Linked DNA regions of Rattus norvegicus. The main gene of each other region encodes a partner of the protein of the gene in region 3 in a complex. Links are inferred from orthologs where the notes say so. Each region holds a gene or a part of one and is shown on either strand. Other genes may lie near its edges.

Region 1 (4,257 bases), on a different chromosome or scaffold from region 3:
TTACAGTTCACTGGCTTCTTCCGGGATGTACATGCCCTTTAGCTGTCTTCACTGTGTTTGGCTGGGTGTGTTGGCTCATGCCATAATCCCAGAACTGGAGAGGCTGAGGTAGGACTAGTAAGTATTTCAGACCAGCCAGAGCTACACAGTGAGACCCTGTCTGAAACAATCCCAACCAAAACAGAAAAATTACTAAGTATCTCAAGCTTTAGAATGCAGTTATTTCATTAGTCTCAACTGCTCAAGAACTTACAGTCCGTTAAACATAAAAGCCCCCCAAAACCAAAAAACCCACAATTCCATCATCAAAGTGCTCACAAAGATTCTCTTGCATATTATAAACTATTTTATGATTTAGGAGAAAGGAAAGTTGAGGACACTGGCCTCCACCTTTAATCCCACTGTGTGGGAGGTGGAGGCAGAAGGATGAGTTCAGGGCCATCCTCCTTAGAGAGCAAGTTTGAACCCAGCTTAGACTGCCTGAGATCCCACCTCAAAAAAAGAGGCTATAAAACATGTAAAGAAATAGACTCGGGGGGATTAGGAGTTTGTGCAAATAAACAGAACAAGACTTAAACACTTAAGTAACTATACCTGCAGCTAACCAGTACTGGCATTTCTTCCAGATACCCTGACGTGGATGTATGCTAATGTATACATTCTTTTTCTTCTTGTAAGCAAAACTTTAATCCCAAGGATTCTCACAAACATATTACAAATGACAGCATGAAAAAGAATCTCGCACAGTAACTGAGAAGTTCAGCTCTACAATGTACCCTACACTGACAGGGCACTGGTGTCTTGGTTTTACATTTCCAAATAAAGAAAGCTCTGCATCGCATGCAGCAGCCAGGAAGGAGCCGCTCTGAAAGCCTTCAGAGTGTGGTTCCCACCCTTTCTCTGTGGGCTGCGTTCACAGCAGCTTTTAGAGATGGCTCACCATTTGACCCGCACGAAGGGCCACACTGTCTCTGCTGCTAGAGGGACTACAGCTTTAGTCAACTCCCGCCAGTCGCTTTATACATCATCAGTACATCACACTTAAAACTGGGCAGGACCTAGGTTTATTTCAGTCTATGAAAAACTAAAATTCAAAAAAGATCCAATCTCGCTTCAGGGAACATTGTAAACTAATAATTCTTGATATTATATGCCTCATACGATCCATTTGAAACCACAGAAAATTACAATGTTTTGTGTCACTGTTCCAAGAGACAAAACACATTTGAAACATCTTAAAAATGCACCAAGCTTATGAAGTTTCAAACAAAACTTAATTTCCTGTACATATTTCCTGTCAAATGAAGTTATTTCCTGTACACCACTTTGCAAACTGGTCTTTTATTTCCTTTCATTTGCCCTAGATCGCCTATAAGACCTAGAGAAGGATCTAGACGGCCTGTGATTTCTCTCATGAGACAGAGACCTTTCTCTTCTCCTATCTCTAGAAAGTGACCTGCTCTGGCTTCAGGAAGATTCTCCTTCTTGGGGATCTGTGGAGAGGTGGTGGGGGACTCCTCCTGCGGGAGTCATCTCGAGGACGATGACCCCAAGAGGTAGGCAGGCCGCGATTCCGACTTCTCTTTTCACCGTTCAACAGTTCCACTCTTAGGTGGCAGCCACATAGCGTTCTTCCATAGCTCGTGGACAGCATCCGCAGCATCTTGGGGATCCTCAAATTCGAGGAAAGCTAAGCCAGGAGGGTTTAGAGCAACCTACACCCTTCACAGTGGTCCATAATAGCCAAAAGCCCATTCTAATTCAGTCTTGTTCCCATTGTTTCCAAGATTACCTACATAAACCTTACAGTCCAAGGGACAGTAATCACGATGCATTTTGAGATCCTGGATTCAACAGGCCCAAGCTCAAATCCTAAAGCTCTGACAGGCCCACCCACTTCCCTGTGGCTCTGCTCCCACAGATGCTTTCGGTTCCATAGCGTGAACGAAATGGCCTTTACATTCTTTAGATGCATGGCAACACACAGGACCCACAACTGGTTTAGAAACAACTAAAGCGTAATTTATTCTCACACGTTTGTATGCTTTTGAGAACTTTTCCTAACATAATGCTAAGTCTTCATTTTACGTTTCTCGTATTTTCCCATACTATCTCCTCTAATCTTCCTAAATATTTTACAAACTAGGGCAGCATCCACTGATAATTCTTAATCAATAGGGTGGGAGGCTAATGATCACCTCATTGACTATTTTGTGCGAGGCCTCGGGGCTCCATGTAACTGTACTGAACTAAGGAATCCTAGTCTGAATCCAAAGCCCAGACAATCTCCGTCGCCATTCTTTCCCGCTGTAATTCTCGCCACGACCCTTTTGTGTCCAGCATCTGGTTGACCTGTGATTACTGGAAACGCTAAACTTGAACGCGGCCATCAGAAACCACACTGCCCGATGGAGAGTGAAAGTGGTGGAGGATTTCTCTTAGAAGATCTCAGTTAACCAGGAGTCTCGACCCAGGGGAGCAGAGCCTACCCTGAATGGGCAGAAGACAGTGTTACCAAGCTGTCTCCACACTGACCGACAGGCCGGACTTTGGGGATCTTTGGGTCTGTTGGGTTAGCACGGAGGAAGGAGAGACGGCTTCAGACAGATGACTCTCGCAGGGAGCTCAGCACCTGGCTGCCGTCTCCGGATCCCTTTACTCACCTTCTTGATGTTGGATTTGGAAGCAGGATGAAAGTCCTTTTTACACATGAAATTGGCGAATGACTTCCCCATCTTGGAGTCTGAGCCAGAGAAGCCAACTGCTAAGTCTGTGAGGAACGTAAACAAACTCCCGGAGCGTCACCGGAACTGTTAAGCGAGCATGGGCGAGAACTTCCGAGGTCGGAGGTGACTACTTCCGTAGATTAGCGTTAGGGGCCGCCCCTCCTGCTCTCTTCCGGTAGTTGCTTCTCGTCGCTGTTACCCGGCGTCCGCGCGTGCGCAGCAGAGGTAAGCTCAGGCGTCCGCTCTGCGCGTCGTTCGCACTCTGCAGGGTCGCGAGCGGCGGTGGGCTCTAGGGCGCCAGCATCGTTCTGAGCGCAGACGTCCCGAACAAGCGAGGTCTTGAAGTTCGAGCCCAGCACTTTCTGGCAACGTCGACTCCAGTTGCAAAATTTTTCTTTTGCGGCGCTGTTCCTATGTAGATAATGGAGATAGTTTTACGCCAACCGTAGGACGTTTGTGAGATTAGTGTTACCAAAAGCACGGGAATAGACTGAACCGAGGCTCTTCCTTTCCAATTACTGTTATTGTTTAATAATTGTTATTATTACTATGTATCTTTGATACGTGGTCTCGCCATATAGCGTTGGCTGTCCTTGACCTAACAGATCTGCCTGTCTTTCCCGACCCAGTGCTGGGATTAAAGGCCTGCGCCAATACACGCCTGCATTTGCCTCCCCAGTGCTGTAATTAAAGGCCAATACACGCAGCTTCCTTGGGTTATTTCTAGCTATGTGGAAATGTTCAGCAAAAATCGTGAATGATAAGAACCCGTTAGGGCCAAGTGCTTTCTTCCCTGAGCGCTGGTTTCTTAGTTGTTGCCGCCATCCCAGTTCGTGTAGGCAAGGGCATAGTCCACCGGTCTCTAGCGAGGATAAGAACACGCCAAATTACAACAGATGACAGCTTTCGTTTGGGAGTTGGCGGTGTTCCAGGAGTTTTATCGTGTGTTATTTGTGACTCAAAAGAAAAACAGTGATACCTCTTCCCATCTTTGAGATGGAGAAGACTCTTCACTTATTGTGTGATAGACTTGTTTCTTGAGTCATTTTGTTCATTTTGAAACATAGGGTAGCCTTAAACTCTAGTTCATTCTGCTGAGTGCTGAGATTACAGTGTGCTACCATATCCTGCTTTGTTTTGCTTTCAATAAAACATTTACTGTGTTTATATTTTTTTATTTTTCTTAAATAGTTAGAATGCTCCTCTATAAAACTGTGCTACAAATTGTTTCTTCTTGTTTGTTTTTCAAGACAGGGTTTCTCTGTGCAGCCCTGGGTGTCACTCTGTAGGCCAAAGATCTGCCTGCCTCTGCTTCCCAAGTTCTGGGATCAAAGGTGTGCACCACCATCCCCAGCAAGATTTGGTTCTTATAAAAGAAGGGAACTGGGTTAGAGAGCTCAGTGGTTAAGATAGCTCATTACTTTTCCCAAAGACTTCAGTTCAATTCCTAATACACAGGTGTGCTTGCACAATGCCTCACAACCTCTAACTCCAGGTCCAGGGCGTTTGAGGCCCACTTCTGACCTTCCAG
Region 2 (4,379 bases), on a different chromosome or scaffold from region 3:
TAGATCACTCTGCTAAAAAGATATCACTGATCTGTATGGCACTTCACATGACTTCATTTACAAAATCAGACCTGTAATTTATGAAACAATTCCATCTTTGGGGAATACATATTATAAACTTTTGGAGAAATAAAAGGGGAAGTTGTATATCAAGAACTATAAGACTGTCATCTGAGATTTAATATTAATATAAAGCCAACTTACTGGCTGTATTTAATTTTGAGATTTCTCAGATGCTTTAAATGGTTAAATATTTACAGAACGGTTTTGGAGTTGCCAGTGTGATTATGATTGACAATTCACTATAGAAAACCCTGCGGTCTACCTCTGGAGTGTCGATGTCCTGAACAGGTGAGTCTCCTCCATCATCATCGCTCCCTTTCCTCTTCCTTCTGTTTCGAACACTCTGAATTAGGTTCTTATGATAGTCACAAATGTAAAGATGCCTTGCCTGGAAAGGACAAAGAAAGGTTAAAAGACTGTGAGTCCAGAAAACTAAGGTCAGTAAACTGCACAGGCCCAGGCAGCTCACTAAAAACAGTCTAATGGCACTGGCAAGAGGATGCATGTTTCTTTCCAATACTAAACTGCTGTAACATTAGCAATCTGTGATACTGTTAAGGAGATTGGGGGAGGGGTGTAGTAGAAAGTGATGGGCTGGTAGGAAGAATGGTTGGAGAACTCAGGCAGGCACCTGGCAGGCAGACAAGCAGAGGAAGAGAAATTCCAATCCTCTGTGTTTTGTCACCAAATTGCATCGAGGGTGACCTAAATAAGTTAGCTCCTGCTGGTTTTGACTTAAGGGGAGAGGTGACATTGCCCACAATTTTGTACTTGTTAGTATTTTCTCTAACTTGAGAACAGCAAATTATATTAATGGCACATATGCTTCCTTATCTTTCTAATTAGATAGTCAAATTCTACACAGATACAAAGTATGCATTTTTTTACGAATGTGTCATTGAATTCATATTCATATCCTATGTTTAAATTTCAAGCCCCAAGGTTTCTTTTCAAGAATTAAATGAATGCATTTCACTGTATTATGTTGTTTTCAATTAAAGCAAATTGAAATTATTCACGTTCACTTACAAAGTTTCTCATGGACCCTACTGAGAAACTGCCCAAACAGAATCACAAATAAACTTTTCAAAAAAATGTAATTACTCAGGCATTTGAGAGTTATATACGGTGGGATAGAAAGTACTGAGCTGGTTGACACTCTCCCCCTCCCCGCTTTTAAGGCTACAATTAAAGGCCGAATGAACAGGCTTTTCAATTGACTTCTAAGCTAAGGGCAAGTTAAAAATATACAGGATGTGTGGAGGTTCTGTATCTTGTTCTTCCTTTGCCATCAGTCAGAGCTCTGAAAAGTAGTAGTGGAATTCTCTGAAACCTCATAGCTGGCCAAAACAGCAGACGTGCATAAAGACAGAAAAAGAAATCCCGATGGCTGCCGAGAGGGTTGTAAAACCGCAGAGGCTTATTTGCAGCCTTGGTTCAGAGCAGCTGCCCGAAGAGCTGACACCGCAAACGCCGTTTACAACCATCTCTCTGCAAGGCAACTGGTGAGCTCGGCTTCCCTGCCTGTGTTCAAGAGAAAGAGAACACCGAGGAGGAAAGAAAAAGAAAAGGGGGGGGGGGCAGAAGGAAGGGGAGAGAGAGAGAGAGAGAGAGAGAGAGAGAGAAAGAGAGAGAGAGAGAGAGAGAGAGAGAGAGAGAGAGAGAGAGAGAGAGAGAGAGAGAGAGAGAGAGAGAGAGAGAGAGAGAGAGAGAGAGAGAGAGAGAGAGAGAAGCATTGTGGGATCCAGCCAGACTCTACTTTCCCTAGAGGAACAGAGCTACAGAGCTGCTCCCTGGGGCAGACACCGGCTCTGGCAGCAAAACAAAGGCGCCTCCATTCCAGAAGGGACTACACGGCTGCGAGAAAACTACTTGGTGTCGCGGTCCCCTTTGTTTCGTTTCCAGATCGCAGCAAAGGAGGAAGAGGGAAGCCTGGCGTGGGAGACACGCGAGGCAGCGGGAGTCCGGGTGAGGGGAGGAGGGGACCCGCACCACTGCGCGAGCGCGCGCTGGGGGGAAGGTGGCCGGAGTTGCAGGGACTTTGTTTCAATCAGAGAACCACTAATCCCACCTGCAGCCCAGTCTCAGAGACTCGTGAACCCCGCCAAAGATCGGGCAGGGCACGCAGGATAAGGCAGGGCAGGGCGGTCCCGGGGCCACTTACACTCTTATCCAGCTCGATCTTCACCTTCTTCTGGGAGATGCTCTTCTGGATCCTCTTGCTGAAGCTGGCGTTGCCTGCCGCTCGCCCGCACCGCTCACCGTCCTCACGCAAACAACAGAGTTGCCCGGGGCCCGGACCGGCCGCTCCAGGTGGCCCAGAAGCGGACACCGCACCGGCACCGGGTACCTCTGCCCCACCGCCGGCAGCGTTCCCATTCCCCGCCGAGGCGGCGGCAGCTGCAGCAGCGACCACAGCGGCCACGGCGGCGGCCGCATCCCCGCCTCGGCTCATCTCCTCCGGAGTGAAGCCGTTCATGTCTGCCAGTTCGGGGGCGCCGGCGCCGCTACAGAGCCCCGCTCGCCGCGCCGCTCCGCCTCCTTCCCCGGGGCGGCCGTTCACTCCGCACCCCAAGTCTGGCGGCCGCACGGTCCGACGCCCAGAGTCCAAAGCCTGCCGGTCTGCCGGTGCTGGAATAGCGGCCCGTTCCTGTGACTGTGATCAGGACTGGAGTGGCGCCTAGAAACGGGACCCCACTCACTGTCACATGGAGACTTCAGCAGTTGGACCGAAGCTTCTCCGCCTCCTTCTAGCCCCAGAACCTGCGCGAGGGAGACGCCCCTCCTCCGGCCCCGCCCCTCCCCTGCCGCGAGGCCCCACGGGAATGGTAGTTCTTGGTCGCGGAGCCAACTTGCGCTCTGTTCTGATTACGTGCGGGACCGACGGGACAAACTACTCGTCCCAGCATGCATCGCGCGGCGAGCCACCCGTGGGTCTTTTTTTTTTTTTTTTTTTTTTTTTCTATTCCAAGCACTGGGCAAATCTGACTGTGAGGTCAGGCGTTTACCGTGTTTTCTCGTCTCTGTACTGTCATGCGAGCAAGGGCTGGATTTAGCTCCTGTTTCTTCGCAAAGTTAGTGTTCAGACCGCCAGCTGACTCCTAGAAAGAAGCCTAAATATGTGTGTGTGTGTGTGTGTGTGTGTGTGTGTGTGTGTGTGTGTGTGTGTGTGGTGGGTTAGTAAAGATTAAGTGAGAAAAAGTTTACGGGCTGTTGGTATTTATGGAAAAACTCGCGCTACCTAGAGCTCTTTAGGCGCAGAGTCCTACGTCTCCATCTCCGTGCCGCAGCTGATTTCTAGAGCGTGTCAGGTCCTCGGTACACTCGTGTGCCAACCGGTTGACAGGCATTGGGCTGCCTGTCGCCTCTACTGCAGCTTGGATCCCTTTCAAAAGGATCTAAGAGGATTTGAGACCATTTAAAGGAACCACACTAGTATCACCTTTGCTGACTGCTCCTCAAAAACTTCTCTGCGCTGGCTGTAGAGGACGAGGACGGAGAACCCTCTTCTCTTGAGTCATATATATATGCATGTGTGTGCGCTTATGTGTGTCGCGGGTGGGGTAGTTTGCGCGCGTGCGCGCCTGGGTACGTGTTTGTGCCCGCGTAGCGTGTATTCTTGCCTGCGCTTGTGGTGGGCGGGGTGGAGGGATGGGCGTGGCCATGCCAACCCTGCACCTCTGCTAATTATTGGACTATTTAGCAATCCTACTGATTAAGCAAAAATAATGCATTTCAGGTGGAGTTTTGAAAGAAAGCCTTTTTAAGATTTTGTCAATTCAGTGACTATGTACATATATGTGTGTATGTATATATGTATGTATATGTATGTATATATCAACATGGCAAAAATAAAAGTTATCCATGTTATCTGTGTATGGAGGGCACACTTGTGATCCAGATCTTGAGACTGAAAGACACAGGCTTTTGATCTGGATCTTGAGGAATAGAGGCCATGAAAAGCTTAGGTCCAAGCATGGTAGTACATACCTTTAATGCAAAGAGACAAAGCCAAGCAGATCTCTGAGTTCAAGACCAGCTTGGGACAGAGCAAATTCCGAGTAGTTAAATCCAACCATGGGCTGGAGAGATGGCTCAGAGGTTAAGAGCACTGACTGCTCTTCCAGAGGTCCTGAGTTCAATTCCCAGCAACCACATGGTGGCTCACAACCATCTGTAATGGAATCCAACGCCCTCTTCTGGTGTGTCTGTGGATGGCTATAGTGTACTCCTATAAAAATAAATAAATAAATAAATAAATAAATAAATAAATAAATAAATAAAAAATCCAACCATGGTAGTACATGCCTTTAATC
Region 3 (3,645 bases):
TTGCAGCCAGATGTTTTACACAGAGAAAGGGCTGAGCAGCCACATGTGTTTCCATAGTGACCAGTGGCCATCACCTCGAGGGAAGCAGGAGCAACAGGTGAGGGGCAAATGGTGGCTTCTGTAGCTGGGTTAGACAGGCTTTGGAAGTGGATGAAAAGACAATGCCATCCATCTCAGGTTAAAGGCAGCATACTGGCAAGGATGCTGGGTGACATGAGGGCCAGCCAGGACCATCTGGCAGGCTGTAGTAGCCCCACTGGCCCTTAGTCAGTTTTGTGTACTTCCTATGTCATCAGGAGCCACTCTTCTCCCTAGCTGCTCCTTATCTTGGAGCTACCAACTCTGTATGCTCAGGTATCTGGCACAATTTTTCACTGAGGCCTGCTGGGGACAGGGGTCCCCAAAAGCCAAAATGTCCTTGGAAAGCATAATCATAGCTAGGGAACTCAGCCAAGATGGGTGCTTCTCCAGCTGCTGTTTCCTAAGAAAATCCCAAACCAGAAACACCCAGAGGTCCTCACTCTAGAAGCCTTGGTTTGAACCCACGGTCAGCACTGGCTGAGCCCTTATCAGGCCTAATGGTGTGAGTGCTGGTGACAGCACTGATATTGACAGCCCAAGTCTTGACCCTGGTCAGCAATGACCCAAAATTTGCAGAGCTGGGATGTGGGAGAAGAAGGAACTGAGGGCCCAGGCAGGAAGGTATGTCAGAGCTAAGACCTGGAAGAAGAGGAAGGCCGGCAGGGAGGAAGGAACAGTAGAAGATATGAAAGTCATTATGATTTCAGTGATGGATCTCCCTTATTATCTTTATTACTGGACCCTGTGTCAGTGCTAGGCCAGTGGTGGCTCATAAAAGACACAGGCCTCTGGGAGAACACATTATTGTTGCCACAATACTCTTGTTTCTTGCTCCCATTCTTTTTTTTCCTTTTTTTTATGATTTTCTTTTCTTTTTTCCTTTTAAGATTTATTTATTTTATTTATTTGAGTACACTGTAACTGTCTTCAGACACACCAGAAGAGGGCATCAGATTCCATTACAGATGGTTGGGAGCCACCATTAGGATGCTGAGAATTGAACTCAGGACCTCTATAAGATCTGTCCGTGCTCTTAACCACTAAGCCATCTCTCCAGCCCTCTTTTTTTCCTTTTAATACATTTTTTGTTGTTTTCTAGGTTTTTATTTGTTTGTTTGCTTGCTTGCTTATTTATTTTGTGAGACAAGGTCTCTATTATAGCCTTGCCTTACCTTGAACTTGCTATGTAAATGGGGATAACCTTTTACTCCACTTTGCTTCTGCCTCCTGTGTGCTGAGATCAAAGGCATACACCCTGTATCTGACTCTCACTCTTGGAATGCTTGGCACTTGAGCCACTGAACTGCCCCAGTGTCTTCCTATATGACTGTATGAGGAGGCCCCTGAGCCTCAGGATGGCACCATACTGAGTATGTTAGTCAGTTCTGGCTCATGTGGGTCTGGGCTATGAATAGAAGAAGGTTCTACTCAGCTTCCTGTGCTAACCCTGGGTATGGCCATGGCAGACATATATATCCTCCTCCTCTCTGTCCCTATGAGAAGCCCCATTTTCCCTTCCCTGAACAAGCTGAAGACTGAGTTAGTATAACAGATGGTCTCAGGTGACACCTGTGGTTCTGTCCTCTCTTCTTTAGGGACAAGAAAAAGACGGGGAAGAGAGAGACAGCAAGGAGAGCAGCCAATACAGAAAGAGGAAGAAGCGGCCCCAGCCCAAGGCCCTGTTTGCCCCTCCTGCACCCTCTGCCCTTGGGGAGCCAGGCCCAGGAGGGTGCCACCAGAGCTGCCTACGCTCTCCTGTGTTCCTGGTGGACCACCTCCTCAAGGGCTTGTTTCAGTGTTCTCCCTACACACCACCACCTATGCTTAGCCCAATTCGTGAGGGCTCCGGGCTGTACTTCAATACACTCTGCTCCACATCCAGGGCTGGGCCCCACCTTGTCAGCCCTGTACTTGGTGAGTGAGGCCAGAAAGCTACTCTATTCCAGGCTAAGGTGCTTCTCCTATGGCCCACAATCCCTGTGCTTTGCTGTATATGATCCAGCCATTCTTTCCAGCCTTGTATGTGCCTGTTCTGGGGGGACTCAGTGCTACTCAGAAACATACCAAGATGATTCTTCTAGATGTTTGATTGGTTTAGTTTGGCTTTGGTTTTGGTTTTAACATCCAGAAAGAACACATAGAAGCCCTTCAGCCTAATCCCTCTTGTATTCATTTTATAACCACTCTATGGATACAGAGATACACACCATGCAGATCAGCCATTTCAAGCTTGTGCTTTGAGCTTATTCTCTAGCCGCTGAGCTTCCCTGCACACAATCTTTAGAGGGTTTTTGCCATCCAAGAAGCCTGTTTTCTGGGCGGCTACACCACCCTTTTGGCTTTCATTCTCACAGTCCTATGTATCTCCCAGCCTCAGGGAGCCACTCTAATTCCTGTCCCTATAGCCTTTCCTATGCTGGTTATTTCATATAAGTGACATCATACAACTGTGGCTTTTTATGTATCCCCCATTTTACTTAGTTTATGTGTTCAGGGTTCACCAGGTGGTTGTGTGTGTCAGAACTTTTTTTTTTTTTAATCAGTGAGTAATAGTCTACTCAATGGCCAGACCACTCTTTTTAATTATCAGTTGGTAGGTATGGGTATTGTTTTCCTTTTGGCTATTGTAAATAATACTGTAACAACACTTGTGTATAACTTCCTGTGGGGGTCTATGTACCAATTCCTTTTGTGTAAATACCTAGAAAGAAATGCTGGGTTACATGGAAACTCTATTTAACCATATAGGAAACTGCCAAACTGTCTGCCAGAGTATTTGTTCCATTTTGGATTCCTGCCAACAATCGGGAGAGTCTGGATACCTCTGCCCCTTACCTGCACTTACAGGCTGTGATTCTTTCTAGCCACCCAGTCAGATGAAAGATGCCTATTGTTATGTTTAGATTTGTATTACCCTAGTGGCTACTGGTGCCAAGAATCTTGCTGGGTGTTCATTGACTATTGGTGTGTCCTTCTTTATAAACTAAGGAGATCTGGCTATTCTCCTAATGTGCACTGGGTTTTATATGTGACCACTTGACTGGCACAGAGTAATGAAGAGCCATTCCTGTTTACTCTGTTGGCAGGCAGGCCTTGAGTTCACACCCCTCCTACCTCAGCCTCCGGAGTAGTTAGACACATAGTATTATATTTTTTGAGAGTTTTATAATTTTGGTTGGTTGGTTTGGTTTGGCTTGGTTTGGCTTGGCTTGGATTTTCAAGACAGGATCTCTCTGTCTAGCACTGACTGTCCCGGAACTCACTCTAGATCAGGCTGGCCTCTAACTCATAGAAATTCACCCGCCTCTGCCTCCCAAGGGTTGAAACTAAAGGCATGTGCCACCACTGCCCAGCTATAATTTTGACTTTTAAATTTATATCTTTTTTTTATTTATTCATTTTATATATGATGAGTACACTGTAGCTGTCTTCAGACACACCAGAAGAGGGCATCAGACCCCATTACAGATGGTTGTGAGCCACCATGTGGTTGCTGGGATTTGAACTCAGGACCTCTGGAAGAGCAGTCGGTGCTCTTAACCACTGAGCCATCTCTCCAGCCCT

Evidence for each region. Proteins that work in one complex are often made in the same cells at the same time.
Region 1: Zfp541 (region 3) and Cir1 share a complex: the UniProt entries of both Homo sapiens proteins name them as parts of the histone deacetylase complex. The link is inferred for Rattus norvegicus from reciprocal best matches to the Homo sapiens genes ZNF541 and CIRSR.
Region 2: Zfp541 (region 3) and Sap30 share a complex: the UniProt entries of both Homo sapiens proteins name them as parts of the histone deacetylase complex. The link is inferred for Rattus norvegicus from reciprocal best matches to the Homo sapiens genes ZNF541 and SAP30.

Annotation. Positions count from the first base shown.
Region 1 is NC_086021.1:78,593,495-78,597,751, forward strand, and holds the start of Cir1 (corepressor interacting with RBPJ 1), read right to left. Parts: upstream 2,816-4,257; 5' UTR 2,736-2,815; coding exon 2,664-2,735; intron 1-2,663. UniProt on the Homo sapiens protein: May modulate splice site selection during alternative splicing of pre-mRNAs. Regulates transcription and acts as corepressor for RBPJ. Recruits RBPJ to the Sin3-histone deacetylase complex (HDAC). Required for RBPJ-mediated repression of transcription.
Region 2 is NC_086034.1:37,756,930-37,761,308, reverse strand, and holds the start of Sap30 (histone deacetylase complex subunit SAP30), read right to left. Parts: upstream 2,816-4,379; 5' UTR 2,543-2,815; coding exon 2,228-2,542; intron 452-2,227; coding exon 326-451; intron 1-325. UniProt on the Homo sapiens protein: Involved in the functional recruitment of the Sin3-histone deacetylase complex (HDAC) to a specific subset of N-CoR corepressor complexes. Capable of transcription repression by N-CoR.
Region 3 is NC_086019.1:85,898,837-85,902,481, forward strand, and holds part of Zfp541 (zinc finger protein 541), read left to right. Parts: coding exon 1-97; intron 98-1,676; coding exon 1,677-1,995; intron 1,996-3,645. UniProt on the Homo sapiens protein: Transcription regulator which is essential for male fertility and for the completion of meiotic prophase in spermatocytes.